4 linked regions of the Callithrix jacchus genome follow. The protein of the gene in region 2 interacts with the protein of the main gene of each other region in a biochemical or structural test. Links are inferred from orthologs where the notes say so. Each region holds a gene or a part of one and is shown on either strand. Other genes may lie near its edges. The genes, in order: RAD52, RAD51, RAD54B and EVL.

The links.
Region 1: the proteins of RAD51 (region 2) and RAD52 form a complex in vitro, tested with the Homo sapiens proteins (6 studies listed by BioGRID). The link is inferred for Callithrix jacchus from reciprocal best matches to the Homo sapiens genes RAD51 and RAD52.
Region 3: the proteins of RAD51 (region 2) and RAD54B form a complex in vitro, tested with the Homo sapiens proteins (2 studies listed by BioGRID). The link is inferred for Callithrix jacchus from reciprocal best matches to the Homo sapiens genes RAD51 and RAD54B.
Region 4: the proteins of RAD51 (region 2) and EVL form a complex in vitro, tested with the Homo sapiens proteins (2 studies listed by BioGRID and IntAct). The link is inferred for Callithrix jacchus from reciprocal best matches to the Homo sapiens genes RAD51 and EVL.

The regions. Positions count from the first base shown.
Region 1 is NC_133510.1:14,076,566-14,080,430, forward strand, and holds part of RAD52 (DNA repair protein RAD52 homolog), read right to left. Parts: intron 1,669-3,865; coding exon 1,487-1,668; intron 1,318-1,486; coding exon 1,178-1,317; intron 1-1,177. UniProt on the Homo sapiens protein: Involved in double-stranded break repair. Plays a central role in genetic recombination and DNA repair by promoting the annealing of complementary single-stranded DNA and by stimulation of the RAD51 recombinase.
Region 2 is NC_133509.1:45,885,236-45,889,813, forward strand, and holds the start of RAD51 (DNA repair protein RAD51 homolog 1), read right to left. Parts: upstream 2,831-4,578; 5' UTR 2,576-2,830; intron 2,574-2,575; exon of another isoform or gene 2,123-2,573; intron 1-2,122.
Region 3 is NC_133517.1:32,820,094-32,823,958, forward strand, and holds part of RAD54B (DNA repair and recombination protein RAD54B), read left to right. Parts: intron 1-903; coding exon 904-1,165; intron 1,166-2,671; coding exon 2,672-2,738; intron 2,739-2,926; coding exon 2,927-3,124; intron 3,125-3,865. UniProt on the Homo sapiens protein: Involved in DNA repair and mitotic recombination. May play an active role in recombination processes in concert with other members of the RAD52 epistasis group.
Region 4 is NC_133509.1:135,053,174-135,057,038, forward strand, and holds part of EVL (ena/VASP-like protein), read left to right. Parts: intron 1-633; coding exon 634-697; intron 698-2,448; coding exon 2,449-2,515; intron 2,516-2,608; coding exon 2,609-2,671; exon of another isoform or gene 2,672-3,786; intron 3,787-3,865. UniProt on the Homo sapiens protein: Ena/VASP proteins are actin-associated proteins involved in a range of processes dependent on cytoskeleton remodeling and cell polarity such as axon guidance and lamellipodial and filopodial dynamics in migrating cells.

The sequences.
Region 1 (3,865 bases), on a different chromosome or scaffold from region 2:
GTTTTTTTTTTTTTTTGAGACGGAGTTTCGCTCTTGTTACCCAGGCTGAAGTGCAATGGCGCAATCTTGGCTCACTGCAACCTCCGCCTCCTGGGTTCAGGCAATTCTCCTGCCTCAGCCTCCTGAGTAGCTGGGATTATAGGCACGCGCCACCATGCCCAGCTAATTTTTAGTAGAGACGGGGTTTCACCATGTTGACCAGGATGGTCTCGATCTCTTGACCTCATGATCCACCCGCCTCGGCCTCCCAAAGTACTGGGATTACAGGCGTGAGCCACCACGCCCGGCCCCTGTTTTGGCTTTTATATTACTTTCAGCCTGTTAGTGCTGAGGGGCATATGAACCACAAAGCAAGTCTTCTATGAATCTTCTTCACAATTGGTATGGAAAAACTGGGCAAAAGCTCAACGGATCTGGGACAGGCTTTGTTTGCACTCTCTGAGTAAGGACTACCTACCCCTGGACGGGGCAGTGGGGATTCCCACTGAATCTGGACTCTGAAATAAACGAAAGTTGATAAATACCTGCCAAAAGCTCCCGTTATCCTTAATCTCAATTTGGCCTTATATTCAAAGACATCTCAGAAATACAAGGAGTTTTTTTTTTTGAGACGGGGTCTCACTCTTGCCCAGGCTGGAGTGCAATGGCACGATCTCAGCTCACTGCAACCTCTGCCTTCCTGCCTAAGCCTCCCAAGTAGGGAGTACCACAGGCATGCGCCACCACGCCTGGCTAATTTTTATGCATTCTTGGTAGAAATAGGGCTTCATCATGATGACATCAAGTGATCCACCCACCTTGGCCTCCGAAAGTGCTGGGATTACAGGCGTGAGCCACTGCACCCGGCCACGGCTTTCTAATGTACAGATGGACTAAGTATTTGCAGCAAAAAAAAAGTTATTTACTCTGAAATTTCTAATTCTAGAAGATTATATCAAGGCCCATTTACTTCCATAGGGGAAAAAAAAGATCATTGTCTCTAGAAATGGGAAAATGTATAGCAGATTTAAATATCCAAATTTCCTGGGCTCATCTCTCCTGCACATAGCTTGAGAGAAGTCCCAGCGAGGCCTGGTTTAGAGCCAGCTACAGGGTTACTGGCAGAGAATCAGGTGACCCTGTCGCTAGACTTCCTCCTGCTGACACCTCCCAGGGCTCTGCTCCCATCCACACACACCCTCACTCTTCTCAACTGGTGGGGTGGAGACGAGGACTTGCTGCTTCTCCATCTGCTCCCGGAACTGCTGCTGCAGCTGCTTTTGCCGGAGCTTCCGCTGGTATGAGGCCTCGCTCTCCACAGTGGATGAGGTCAGGCGTCTGCATCAGGGGAGCAACAGGATGAGGAGGAGCTCCTAAGTAACAGCCACGGCTCCTGGGCGCACGCACACACGCACGCAGCTGGCTGGCTCTGAAGGAGGAAGTGGAGGCAGCCCCAGTAGCAGAGGAAATGGCCAGAAAGAAAAAGGAGGGGACTGAGGACACATACCGGGAGCTGCAGTCCTTATTCCCCTGTATCACATCGTGGCTTGGTCTAGAGGGGGAGGTCACCTCCTGTAGCTGTGGGTGTCCCAGGGCCATGTTCGGTCGGCAACTGTTGTATCTTGCCTCTTCCACAGATGGTTCAAAATCTTGTCTCTTCGCTTTAGTTAAATCCACTTCAACAGGCACCTAATAAGGAAAAAGGAGAAAAAAATTCCTTCAACTAGCTCTTGCCCTCCGCTTCTTCTCCCTGACTCACAGATTTAGATTCCTGGAAAATCTCATTTCATACCCTCCATCCATCATGCCTTCTAGGTCGTGCTGAGCCTGAGGCAAAGGATCTACAAATTCCAAGTAATGTTTGTAATTCTATGAGAAAGAGAAGTAAAACAACATGTCTTACTTTACACCCTTCAACAAGTGAAGTTTTGAGAAAAAGGAATCCTTCTTTGGTTTTGACCTAGGGCAAATGTTCTGTAAAATCTAATTTGAATCTTTCCTTGGCAGCTGGGTCTGTCTTTGCTGCCTCCTTGTCCTTTTTCCAGAGAAATGAGTCCACACAGTCTCTGTGGAGGTCTGCACCTTCTCAATGCTTTCTTCAAGGACTACCCCTGGAAATCGCACTCATCACTGAGGGAGCCTTGGGCATGCTGTGGCATAATAAAGTACCCTTCAAACGACAGAGGGAAGAACACTTGGGAGACACAGACGTCAGCTGCCAGCCAAGGCTGCCAGGAATCTTCCAGTGGGGGGCTCTTCCTGCATCTCATCAATGTGACAAGGGACAATCCTGTGCTGTATGGCACAGGGCAAATGATTTCATTTCCACACTGTGATTCCTACAGAAATCCAGAACATTTTTACTTGGGAAAACATCTCTCAATTCATAAAAGTGATGTTGATGGAATAATTAATATGAGGGATTAAGATTACATTTTGAAAACCTGAAAATGAAAATTATAGTGAAGATTTCACATTTAATTTGAAAGATAAATGAGTCGTTTAAAAAGAAATGAGCTTTGGCTGGGCGCGGTGGCTCATGACTGTAATCCCAGCACTTGGGAAGCCGAGGCAGATCAGTTGAGTGTAGGAGTTCAGGACCAGCCTGGCCAACATGGCAAAAATACAAAAAAAAATCAGAGGAGCTCCTGAGTAACAGCCCATCTCTACTAAAAGTAAAAAAAAAAAAAAAAAAAAAAAAACCTGGGCATGGTAGCACACACCTATCATCCCAGCTACTCAGGAGACTGAGGCAGGAGAATCACTTAAACCCAGGAGGCAGAGTTTGCAGTGAGCCAAGCTTGCACCACTGCACTCCAGCCTGGGTGACAAAGCGAGATGTGTCTCAAAAGAAGAAATGAGCTTTGAAAAATATGACAGACTGGCAATACCAAATGGTGTCAAAGATTTGGAACAATTGGAACTGACACAATGCCGTGTGGGAGTGTGAATCAATACAGCCACGCAGGAAAACGGGAGGAACCCACTGGAACAAACCATGCAGCTATCTTCTCACCCAAGAATTCCCAACAAAAGTGAGCGCACATGTTCACCAAAAGAATGCTAACAGCAGCTCTATTCCCAACAGCCAAAAGCTACCAAAAACAAAACATCTCTGACTAGAAAACTAAACTGCCACATACTCATGCAAAATAAAATGACACAGCAATGAAATCTCACAACCATGCTGAATTCAAGTAAGATACAGAGTTCAAACTATAGGATTCCAAAAAAGCACATAACAATAAAAACAAATCTGTGGTTTTTGTTTTTGAGACAGGGTCTCGCTCTGCAGCCCAGGCTAGAGCACAGTGGTGTGATCACAGCTCACTGCAGCCTGGGCCTCCTGGGTACAAGCAATTCTCTCAGAGCAGCTTCCCAAGGAGCTGGGACTATAGGCATGCACCACCATGCCCAGCTAATTTTTATTTTGTAGAGACAGGGTCCCACTATGTTGTCCTGGCTGGTCTCTAACTCCTGGGTTCAAGCAATCCTTCCTCCTTGGCCTCCCAAAGTGGTGGAATTACAGACGTGAGCCACCGCACCTGGCCAATCTGTGTTGTTAAAAGTGGTTTGCTCAGTAGTGGGAAGGAGGGCAGAGGATGGCAGTGACTGCAAGGAACACATCTGGGCCTTCTGGGTACTGGTAATGTCTTACCTTGATTCAGATATTGACTATGTGGATGTGTTTGGTTTGAAAATTCAGCAAGCTAAACATGGATGATATGTGCACTTGTCTACATGTCTATATGTACTTTTTAATACTTCAGTCAATTTTCTTAAAGTATAAACTGTACAATTCCACTTGTGAACTTTACATATATAAAGTTCAGGCCAGGCCCAGTGGCTCACACCTGTAATCCCAGCACTTTGGGAGGCTGAGGCA
Region 2 (4,578 bases):
AAATAGAAGACTGGTAACCAGAGACTAAGGCGAACACAGCTGTTAGAGGGGCAGTGGGAAGGAGAGAGGTTGGTCAACAGGCACAAAGTTTCAGTTAGACAAGAGGAATAATTTCTAGTGTTCTATTTCACAGTTGGGTGACTACAATGCACACTAATGTAATGTATACTTCAAAATAGCCAGAAAGAGTATTTTGAATGTTCTCACCACAAAGAGAAATGACAAATGTTTGAACTGAATTGATTTGATCATTCATTATACAATGTACGTATGTACTGAAATATCACCTTGGCTGGTGCTGTGGCTCACACCTATAATCCCAGCATTTTGGGAGGCTGAGGTAGGCGGATTTCCACTAAAAATTTAAAAAATTAGCCGAGCTTGGTGGCACACACCTGTAGTCCCAGCTACTTGGGAGGCTGAGGCAGGAGAATTGCTTGAGCACAAGAGGTGGAGGCTGCAGTAAGCTGAGATCATGCCGCTGCACTCCAACCTGGGCAACAGAGCAAGACTTTGACTCAAAAAAAAAAAAAAAAGAAAGAAAGAAAAGAAAAAGAAAGAATCACTTCAATGCTACTTACTCATTTATTTATTTAGAGATTGAATTTCCCACTTATTACCCAGGCTGGAGTACAATGGCGCTATCTTGGCTCACTGCAACCTCCACCTCCTGGGTTCAAGCTATTCTCCTGCTTCAGCCTCCCAAGTAGCTAGGATTACAGGCGCATGCCACCACACCTGGCTAATTTTTGTACTTTTAATACAGATGGGGTTTCACTATGTTGGCTAGGCTGGTCTCGAACTCCTGACCTCAGATGACCCACTCACCTCGGCCTCCCAAAGTGCTGGTATTGCAGGCATGAGCCACTACTACACCCAGCCAAGAATCACGTCAGTGCAACTTAAATATTTCCCTTCATAATTTATGAATACAGTACTGCAGAATAATGGGGAAAGGATGGTTTTGTTCAATAAGCAGTGCTGGGTTGATTGAATAGCCTTAGAGAGAAAAATGAACTTTGTCCCTCTCTCATACCACAAACAAAAATCAATTTCCAATTTATTAATAGATTCCACCCAATCTAAATGTAAGAGATAAATTAAACTTTTCAGAATATAAGATAATATTTTCACAACCTTGGGACAGAAAAAGAGTTCATGAAGTTGGATATATAATTCACTAGCCAAAGAGGAAATGTTGAAAACTGAACATTTATTTTTTATTTATTTATTTATTTGAGACAGAGTCTGGCTCTATTGCCCACGCTGGAGTGCAGTGGCTCCATCTCGGCTCACTGCAACCTCCACCTCTGAGGTTCTTGGTCTTGAATTCCTGACCTGATCATCTATCACCCTCAGCCTCCAAAAGTGCTGGGATTACAGGCATGAGCCATGGCGCCTGGCCTGAACTACATTCAGCACTTCTATTCATCAAAGGACACTACTAAGAGAATAAGTCAAACTACAGCAGAGAAAACACTTAGCACTAACATAACTGAGGCCTGATAATCAGAATATAAAGAACTTCAAATCAGTAAAAGACAGTTCAACAGAAAATGAGGCAAGAGATTTTAACAAGCACATCACAGAAGATATCCAAATGGCCAAAAACACATGAAGAAATGCCCAACCTAATCAGTAATCAGGAAAATCAAAATCATGAGACATTACTGTGTACCCAGCAAAAGAGTTAAAATTTAATAAGACTGAAAAATATCGTATTGGCAACCATGTGAAGTAACACTCCTGATATATTTGTATATAAAATTCAAAAACAAGCGACATAATCGCATTAGAAACCCGTATGCAGTGCCTCACAGTGTAATCCCAGCACTTTGGGAGGCTGAGGCGGAAGGGTAAGTTGAGGTCAGCAGTTCGAGACCAACTTGACCAACATGGTCAACAGAACCCCCGTCTCTACAAAAAATTAGCCGGGCGTGGTGGCGCACGCCTGCAATCCCAGCTCCTCGGGAGGCTGAGGCAGAAGAAGCGCTTGAACCGTGGAGGCGGAGGTTGCAGTGAGCCGTGATCGGGCCACTGCACTCCCAGCCTGGACGACAGAGGGAGACACCATCTCAAAAAAAACAAAAAACACAAACAAAAACAAAACAAAAACCCAAACCTCACTTCAGAACATTCTCTAGACGTCACGTAAATGGTTTTCTGCATCAAATGACGACATTTTTTCTTTCTTTTTTTTTTTGGCAATTGGAGTTTGGGTACTTTCTAAGGCAACCTCCAACTTTCCATTACACCTTGCTGTAATGGAAAGACCAGGAATCCGGAAGCCCTGGCGGTGATATTAAACAGTCCTCTCGGACTCCTCGATCAAGCCCATAAAATGGGTGTTGGCAATGACGGTTCTACTGTTTCTCCCCTAGCTCTAAAGCCTGGGGTCCACTGTGTTTTCGCCCCAGCAGCTGAGGGTCGGTCGGGCGCCAACCCGCCCTGCCACGTCCAGGTTTCACACTGCGCGCGAAGGCCCCACCAGCCGCCGCTGGGCAACGAGCCGGCTCGCACCCAGGTAGGCGAGCACGAGCCGCGGCTGTGGACGGCCTGCGCCTCACGCACTCACCTCGTCCCGCAGCGCTGCTCGCTCCAGCGGGCCGCGCGCTCCAACTTCAGCCCGTGGGCCTAGCACGCGCGCGACCTGAGCGGACCCCAACGCCCCTGGGTTGCGCTCCACTTCTCTGTTCGCTTGCCCCAGCCTTGTGCGCACAATCCAGGCGAGTTTCAGCTCCCAGCTTCGCGCCTCTGCAAGCGCTGCGCTCTCATTAGGGATCGGTCTCTGGCCGCTGTCTGCCCTCCGCCGGCAGCTTTCAGAATTCCCGCCAAAGCTTCTAGGCCTGGGGTCACGCCCGCGTCGGCGTAACGTCTTCCAGCCTCCTGGATCCGCCTTCTCACCGCTTCCGCCCTGCGCCCCAGGGCAAGGTGGGAGCGCGAGAACATGAGCCTGCGAGGTTACGGACCGACCTCGTCCCTTTTTGCACGAGTACTAATTCAAAGTTTATGCCGGGCGCTGTGGCTCACTCCTGTAGTCCCAGCTGCTCGGGACGTGGGGGCGAGAGAACCACAGTGAGCCTAGGAGTTCGAGGCCAGCCACAGCAACGCCCCTACTCCCACCCCAGTCCCTCACGGGTGGGGCGGGGGTTGGGGGAGTGGGGGAGGAAGACTTATCCGAGTTGCCGTTTTATCTTTTCACTTTTTTTTTCCTCTCTCAGGTGTCTACAGAAACCGTTTTATGTTTACCAGATCAAAGACTACAACTCCCAAGAGGTAATGCGTCGGCTCGGGACTGCATCTCCCGGCATGCACCTCCGGCGGGCCCGCGGCTACCTACCTTCGTCCCGGAGCCTTACCTCTTTTGTGGTTGGTTTTCGGCAGTGTCTGAACGTCGGCTTTTGGCACTTAGGGTCGCTCTGAGCCTCCGACTCACATTCTGGAGCCGGGTGCTTTCCAGGCCTCATGAAGGTGAAGGAGCTGAGAAGCTCGAGAAGATGGATATAATTGGGAAATGGAGCTAACGGACGGGAGAGAGAAATGGCTGGAATATTCGTCAATTTGTGGTACTTTACTGGAGATTTGCAGGACTTCAGAGGAAGAAGACATGAATTTGATAACCTACACAGTATCGTGGTTTACCAAAAAGTTTTGACTCTTGATTCCGGTTTTAAAAGCTGAAGTAGGGCCGGGCGCGGAGGCTCATGCCAGTAATCCCAGTACTTTAGGAGCCACCTCACCTGGTCTTATTTATTGTTTTTTTTTTTTTTTTTTTTTTTTAATGAGGCAGCATCTCTCCCTGTTGTCCAAATTGACCTTGAACTCCTGGCCTCAAGTGATCCTCCCACCTGAGCCTCCCAAAGTGTTGCGATTACAGGTGTGAGCCATTGCAACGGCCTTATTACTACTTCCTATTTGTGGAGTGCTTTTGTTGTACTGGCCTGAGCATAGAAAGTCAACACTAAGACAAAAGTATGCTAAATTGCAGGGTCTTTATTGCCTGCGGCCACCGAGGACTCACTCTCCAACCCGTGGCCCCGAAAGGAGGGTGCCAAGACCTTTTATACCCGTAAAACCACCTCGGGAGTGAGGGTGAGGGGCAGGGGTGGGGGTGAGGGGCTTCAGACGTTCTGAGGGCCAGTGGATTCTGTAAATCACCTCCTGGGCGGAGATGTGGGTGAGGGGCTCCAGACATTCCAGTGGATTCCTGGGCGAAGATGAGGGTGAGGGGCTCTGGACTGCCGAGCGCCAGGGGACTTTTTTGACATTCTGATTGTTACATAAGTGGTTCACAAAAGTCAAGATTAGCATTTGTTTACACATTATTTGGGTAGGGTGGAAATTACAGTCCTTAATTGCTTATTCACATTTGGGTTATAGAGAGCAGTTTCAACAGAAAGCCGAGGTATGGTTGAGGTATGCAGTTTTATGGGGCTTTTACCATGTCACACTTTAAAGTTGACAAAGTTTTTAGTTAATCCTCACACTATTACCTTGTGGCATCGAAGGATAGATTTCAGAAGAGTGAAAGTGAAGACAGCGAAAAGGAAGCTCTTGCAATATTTCAGGCAAGAGATT
Region 3 (3,865 bases), on a different chromosome or scaffold from region 2:
ACTCCCTATCCTCAAATAGGATCTTTTCTGTGGAATCCTTTAAGTCTTTCCATAGATGAATCCTTTAGTAATATCTTCCTTGGGCTGGTATGTGGGGTGCCTGTCTGCTGCTGTTCTGGTAGTTGGCAGGCAAAGGGGAGAGAGATCTAATTCAGTATCTAGACTTTCATTAACAATTTTTTTTAAGACAGGGTCCTGCTGTATTGTCCAGGCTGGACTGACACTCCTGGATTTAAGTGATCTTCCTGTTTCAGCCTCCTGAGTAGCAGGTGCTAAAGCTATATGCCACTACATTGGCTCTTCTGCCTTCTACAGTTGGTTCCCTGGTCTAAGTTTCTTTGATTTATTTTCTCCAGAGAATAAATATTTTATTTGAGAAAGAAAACTGCTGATCACATGGGAGCAGGGCCTGGGTTCTATGTACCAATGTTGTAATAGCTTCAGTCTAAACTCCTTCCTTCTGAGGTACCTTAGGAAGATTCTGTGATGCAAATGAACTTTCATTTGTTTCTTATTGGAATTTCCCTTTTTGCGCATGTAGGTGTCACTTTTTGTATACTCCTAAGCAGGTGACTGCTTCACTATGCTTTCTGTTTTCAGATATCTTCAGAGTTAGTGTTTCTGTTCATTTTTGTATTTTGCTCATTCTCTTGATATTTTTAGAGTGACGTCAGAGAGATGAAGAAGGCAGAAAGGTCTTTGCTTCACTGTCTTAAAACTGGAAGTTTAGATATTGACTTTAAAATGGATTATGTAGAAATACCTTTGTTTTAATTGTACAGGGTCATTGTTGCACACTCTCTAAATGTCAGTGATAATATTATTGTGGTATTTTCTTTCAACTAAGACAATCTAAAGCTGCCTTTAAATTATATCTAAAGAATCTTTCTTTTTGATTGACAGGGTGGTGTTGGTATCCAACTATACACAAACCTTGAACATTTTACAAGAAGTATGTAAGCGTCATGGATATGCTTATACAAGACTTGATGGGCAAACACCAATCTCTCAAAGGCAGCAGATTGTTGATGGCTTTAATAGTCAACACTCTTCTGTTTTTATTTTTTTGTTAAGTTCAAAAGCTGGTGGTGTAGGACTTAACCTTATTGGAGGATCTCACTTAATTCTTTATGACATTGATTGGAATCCAGCCACTGATATTCAGGTAGGAATATTTATGCATTAGATAGATATTATTGAATGCCTGGGAATGCAGTGCCTATTGAGGATGCAATATGATGATGATAGATAATAACTACTGCATAAAGAGCCCTTATTTTGCATGAAGCACTCTGCTAAGTGCTTTCCATCTATTTAATCTTCCTAACAAGCCTACAAAGGTTGATATTAATAGTCCCATTTTACAGATGAAGATACGAAAGCTTGTTCTAGATCCCACAGCTTGTAAGATGCAGAGCCAGGATTCAGACCTAAACCTGTATGTCTCCAGGTTCTAGTTTACTGCAGAGTTGGGCGTTTAGGATGTTCATGACCATCAGGTGAAGACAATAAAGTGTTGTGGATCCTGTTAGTGTTTATGCAGGCTACAGTATGGGTATAAATATAACATATTTAGGAAAATATTTGAGAAGCCTTTGGTTTTCTTTAGAGAACCATCCATCCTTTTGTATCTTGAGTTTTCTACCTGTAGGTTTGCACCTCAGTTATGTGCATTAGGGGATCCCAAGACAACCCTCAGGTTTAATAATTCACTAGAAGGACTCAACAGAACTGGAAAAAGAAGCAGTACTCACAGTTATGTTGCATTATAGTAAAGGATACTCAAATCAGTAAGGAAAAGGTGCTGGGTTCAGGGCAGAGTCCAAGAGAGACCACAAGCTTCCAGTTGTCCTCTCCCAGTGGAGTTTTATGGACAACACTGAATTCTCTCAGCATTGATGAGTGACAATACATATGGAATATTGTCAACCAGGGAGGTTCACCCAAGTGTTGGTGTCCAGAATTTTTCTTTGGGGTCAGTCCTGTAGGCATGGACTACCTGCATGACTGACCTTAGTTACTCAGCCTTCAGCCTTCCAGAAATCCAACCACATGGCCGAAGGCCCCACCATATCACATTGTTAGCATAAACTCTCTGGTGTGGCCCAAGGCTTCTGGTAAACAGACACTCATATCAGGCAGGACATTCCAAGAGCCTAGAGATGATCTCTTAGAGGTAGGTTGAAGGCCAGATTCTTATTTGAAATGTGCAGGTTTTGAACATCAACCCTGCACTTATATGACATTATATGTTATATGTCATATAATCTTTAAACCACAGGGATCCACCTAGAGCCTTAGCTGATTACATGTATCCTAGGTACTTTTCAGGGGCAAATCTTTAGCTATTTGGACTGAGAATGAACCTCCATGCCCATGCTACACTTGGTTCTTTGTGTCTTGCTGTCCATACTCACTGTCCCATTGATGAAGATACATCCTCTCACTGTTGCATGATACCCCTGTAGTTATTTTAACATAATGAGTGTTCACTCAACCCTTTCTTTCCGCCAAGAAAAAGATATGCAGTAGGACACGCTTGGCACACCTGTAACCCTATATATGTAAAATATAGAATTCCTAATTTTAAAACATATTTCTGCAAATTGCATATGTGGAAAGGGCCATCAGTTTCTACTGTACTCTCAGAATTCTCACTTATTTTCTGTAGGCAATGTCCAGAGTATGGAGAGATGGTCAGAAGCATCCTGTACATATTTACAGACTCCTAACCACAGGTAACAACCCATCGGTATGACCAAAAATGTATTTCCTTTGAATAATTAAAATTATTTTTTGTTAGTCTGTGCTTCAGTGTCAGGAATATATTGCTATTTTGTTAACTAGTATGTTAATAAACATTTTACCCAACAAAAATAGTGAACATAAAGATCTGAAGGAAATCTAATGAATGTTTTCTCTTTAGGTACAATAGAAGAAAAGATCTATCAAAGGCAGATCAGTAAGCAAGGTCTTTGTGGGGCAGTTGTCGATCTCACTAAGACATCGGAACATATTCAGTTTTCACTAGAAGAACTTAAAAATTTGTTCACCTTGCATGAAAGTTCATCTTGTGTTACTCATGACCTGCTTGACTGTGAGTGTACAGGAGAAGTTCATACAGGTTAGTTGTATTTTAATTCTGTTATTATGTAGTAAAGTTAATTTACCTCTCTTTAGCAGTTGAAAATATTAAAGAATAACTTTATAATATTTACCATTTGCATATGGTAGTTTTCTTTTTTTCTTAGCTCATAGGGCAGCTGCCAGAGATATTTGAGATATATTTAGTAGAATCTTATTCTCTCAATTTTAGCTTTTTACTTCTGAATCACTTGTGAAAAATTGAACTTATTTAGGAAAGTCTTTCAAATCCTTATGTAATGGCTTTGGAGATAGGAAAAAAAGAAATTATTTTTTTTTGAGGGGGAGACAGGGTCTGGCTCTGTTACTGCCTCACCCAGGCTGGAGTGCAATGATGCAATCATGGTTCACTGCAACCACCGTCTCTTGGGTTCAAGTGATCTTCCAGCTTCAGCCTTCTGAGTAGCTGGGACTAATGGTGTGTACCACCACACCTGGCTAATTTTTATATTTTTTGTAGAGACGAGATTTCTCCATGTTGCCCACATTGGTCTGGAACTCCTGGGCTTAAGCAATCTGCTCACCTTGGCCTTCCAAGTTCTGGGATTACAGGTGTGAGCCACCGCGTCCAGCCAGAAAAATAGTTTTAATTCCTATTTGTCTTTCACAAAAAACATACACTTGACAGAATAATCCTATTTATGTTGTATAGAATTTATTCACAATGGGGTCATGTTTTCTGAGGCACTCAGAAGCATGGGCCACCATATTTCTCAATACT
Region 4 (3,865 bases), about 89 Mb from region 2:
CACGGTGACAAGGGCAGAAGTTCTTTGCTTGGGATCAGAGTTACACATCAGGTTGGGTGGCTGCCTGTCAGCAGCTCAAATGCTGTGCATTCTGCTTCATCAAGTGAGAGGATTACTCTTATTACTTAACAAGTGGCATGTTCTTGGTGCTGAAAATCATCCTGATGCACATGCCATGCACAGCGAGTGTTGGGTGTTCCCACTGTTGGACACACATCCACCCGTCGAGCATTGCCACAGACCTGTCACAGGGGCAGCTGTGTGTGTGCTACATGGGGGAATAGGTCCCTCCTCGGCATGCTTGCAAGAAGTCAGCGAGATGACACACAGGAGGCATCTGGCCCATGGGGCTCAGGGCTTGGGGTGTTGAGGGCCAGAAAGGAGTCTGCACTCCTCTGCAAAGGTCCTGGAGCTTCCTGCAGCCTTCCCCTTCCCCTTTGTCCACAGGCTGGATTCACTCCCCACTGAGATTTGGGGTTTTCAGTTTTAAATATTTAATGTTTTGCTAATTATAAAAGTTGTATGTGTTCACTGGGAACATTTGGAAAACTGAGGTTTTATAGAGTGCCCAGTGGTGTCCTGCCCCAGCCCCAAGCAGTGTTCCTAAACAGACTTCCTTCTTCTCCATCTTAGGAAGATCCTAGTACCTCCCCCTCTCCGGGGACCCGAGCAGCCAGCCAGCCACCTAACTCCTCAGGTGAGATGGCGCCCCCACTGACCTCATGTATGAAGCAAACAGGGCAAGGGGGCATGTGAGGCATGAGGTCTCAGAGTGGGGGGAGCACCCTTCAAAGAGGACTCTCTGATCCAGCCTCCTCAGTTTGCCTGAGCAGAGAGCCAGGCCACACAGAGGGAAGCCCAGTTCTTATGAGTCCCCCAGAGCATCCCCCAGGAATCCATGCAGGAGCATAGGAAGTGCTAGAACAGAGTCACCGTCATGGGTCCCCAGAGTGGCCTACGCGGCACCTCATTTCCCACCAGGACCCTGAGTTCCGCATGAGGGAAGGCACTTGCCTGATGGCACATATTCAGGGTGGGGGTTTGTGTCCAGGGCTCCTGAGTGCAGGCCGGGGCCAGTGGTCTTAAGAGGGTCAGCGTCAGGACTCATGTCTCCCATGAAACGCCAGCTGGTGACTAGCGTTACAGATATGGCAGTGGATCTTGCTTCACCGAAATGCAGCTCCTTCCCTGGCTCAGGTTTCCCGTCAGAGCTGTGGCAGGTGGGAAGGAGGAAGGAGAGAATGATGAGGTGACAAGGGCAGAGGTTCTCTACATAAGCCTTAAGAGGAAGTGGGAGGAAGACCCCAGGGTTGGTTGTTCATTCAACAGACATTGGCGCAGCACCTGCTCTGTGCCAGGCCTGTGCTCATGAGCATGGCAAGGAGAGGCAGGGGCGTCAGGCTGCCCAAGCTGGGCATGGGAGGCGCTTGCCAGCTGTTCATGTGTCTCTCTGGGGCATGCTCAGGTTGAGTGTCACCTCACTGTGAGACTGTACACCGTGTCCTCTCCTCCTAGGACTTTTGCCTGGCAGGTCGATTTGCCATGATGCATAGGTTCTTGGCTGATGAACGTGAACAATGCCCCTGCCCTGTTTGCTTCTTACAGCAGCCCAGTGAGTGGGCTATGTGTTTGCATCTGTATGATAAGTGGTTTGCTCAAGGCCACACACCTGGGACGGGTCTGTGGCCCCAGGTCTAGTGCCTGCAGTCCCAGCACCTGTCCCAGAAGGTGACTTTGAGGAAAACTACCTCAGTCCCACAGTTGGTCTGCAGGGTACCACAGCCAGGCAGCTTCCCCACTACCACTAGAGATTTTGTCTTCTGTCTCTGCTCATCCTGCAAAGTCAGCAAATTCAACTTAATGCAACAAATCTTTTGGAGTAGGCCAAAATATAATCCAATACCACTTACCTTGAAAAAGAAAAGACAAGCCAGCTGAATGGGACAGAGCCAGGCACAGCATGGGGGCCAGCTAAGGAGCCCGTCAGCAGCAGGTGCTGGGCCTCGGGTCCTGGCTGCACAGCTCATGGGAGCAAGGCTGCATTGGGAGTGTCTGGGGAGGTCCTGCCTGCTTCCCCTTCAGCCCCGTTCGCTGGGTTGCTTACCAGCAGGCCCACGTTCCAGAGAAACCTGACCACAGTGAAAGGACTCAGAACGAGGTCACAGGTCAGGGTCAACCAGGTCAAGGGAACAGGAGCTTGAGTCCTGGAGTAGGGGAGACACAGGGTGACGACAGTGGTGCCATCTAAAGCCCTCAGGGGGCTGGCCTAGGCCATGGGGGACTGAGAACAAGAAGCCAGGTTTTGGCTCTGCTCAAATTAGACCTTCTTGCCATGGGGCTCTGCACCCTCAGCATTGGGGAGAGCTTCCTTTTGGATGTTGAGGGGATTAGGGTGGCTCCTGAGTCCTCTCAGGTCTAAAGTTCTTCATCCATGAACCGAATTGACAGAGACTGGCCGGAAGCCCTGGGAGCGGAGCAACTCGGTGGAGAAGCCTGTATCCTCGATTCTGTCCAGGTGAGTGGCCCAGAAGGCCTGAGCAGCAAGGCTGGGGTGGGCAGAGGCGGGTGCTGGCGCCGATTCACATGTCTGTTTCATTCCATGCTGTAGAACCCCGTCTGTGGCAAAGAGCCCCGAAGCTAAGAGCCCCCTTCAGTTGCAGCCTCACTCTAGGTACTGAACAACCCTCCTGCTCACGTGTTCTCCAGGGTTGGGGCTCCTCTGTCCCCTGTCCTGTGACTAACACCTTGCACCCTGTCTCATGTCTTGGCATTTAACAGCTTGCTCTGGGAAGGTGATCTGTTCTTTCAGACCCAGGACCTCAGGGTCCTGTCAGTCAGCTCCTCCTCCTCCCTCTGAGGGAGAGACCGAGGCCCGGGGAGGGCAGTGACCTGTCCACAGATCCAGTGCAGGGGGCTGACTTGGAGTCTCAGCTCTGGACTCACTACATGTGACAGTGAGCAAGTTAGGGGAACTCTCCAGGCCTCTTTTTCCCCCTCCCCCCACAAAACAGGTCGGTGAATCCCTGCTGCACAGGGCAGTAGTGGGGACAGCTGTGCAAACAACAGCTGGACATGGTCACTAGGCGTGGCTGCAGCCAGCAGCTCAGCTAGTCCTAGGACTGGCCCTGAGCCCCACACCCTCTCCTCCAGCCCACAGTCCTTCCTCTGCGTCCAGCACAGAGCCAGTTTCCCCCAGACATGCTGACCATATTTCCCAAACCAAAAGCTGGCATGACAGCACGATAGAATATTTGGAACTGAGGTTGCCCAAAAAGGTGCAGGCAGCCACATCGTATCTGGAGGCCCACGTGGCCTGAATGTGAAGCCCTCTAGAACCTGCATCAAGAAATGTCTCCATTGCCACCAGAAGTTGAAGGGAACCCACCCTTGTCACAGAGGAGGAGGCACTGAAACTGGCCTTGCGGAGCGAAACGGGTGACAAGCCGAGCAAGCCCTGGCCTGTCCCTGGCAGAAATGGCCAAGACCAGGGCAGGGGGACAGAGATGAGGAAGTCTTAGCAGTCAGCTGGGGTTTGTCAAAGGCTTGTGGCCAGCCAGGCCGTGTGCTGGGGACAGTCCCTGCCTGCCAAGATCACATGAGAACAAGGCCCCTGTGGTCCTGAGGGGTGCTCCAGCAAGGGTGTGGGGCCACGTGGTGGAAGGGACAGGGTGCTTTGGGGAGTGGGGCAGGGCAGGCCTCCGTTGGGAGCTGGCATTTCATTGACCTGGACGAGGAGGAGCCTGCTGTTCGGAGAGCATGGGGACAGCCTTCCAAGCTGAAGGAAGGGTAAGTGCCAGGGCCCTGAGCCTGCAGCCACCTGCCAAGTTCTCCCACACCTCGCACCTCGGAGCAGACAGCAGGCCAT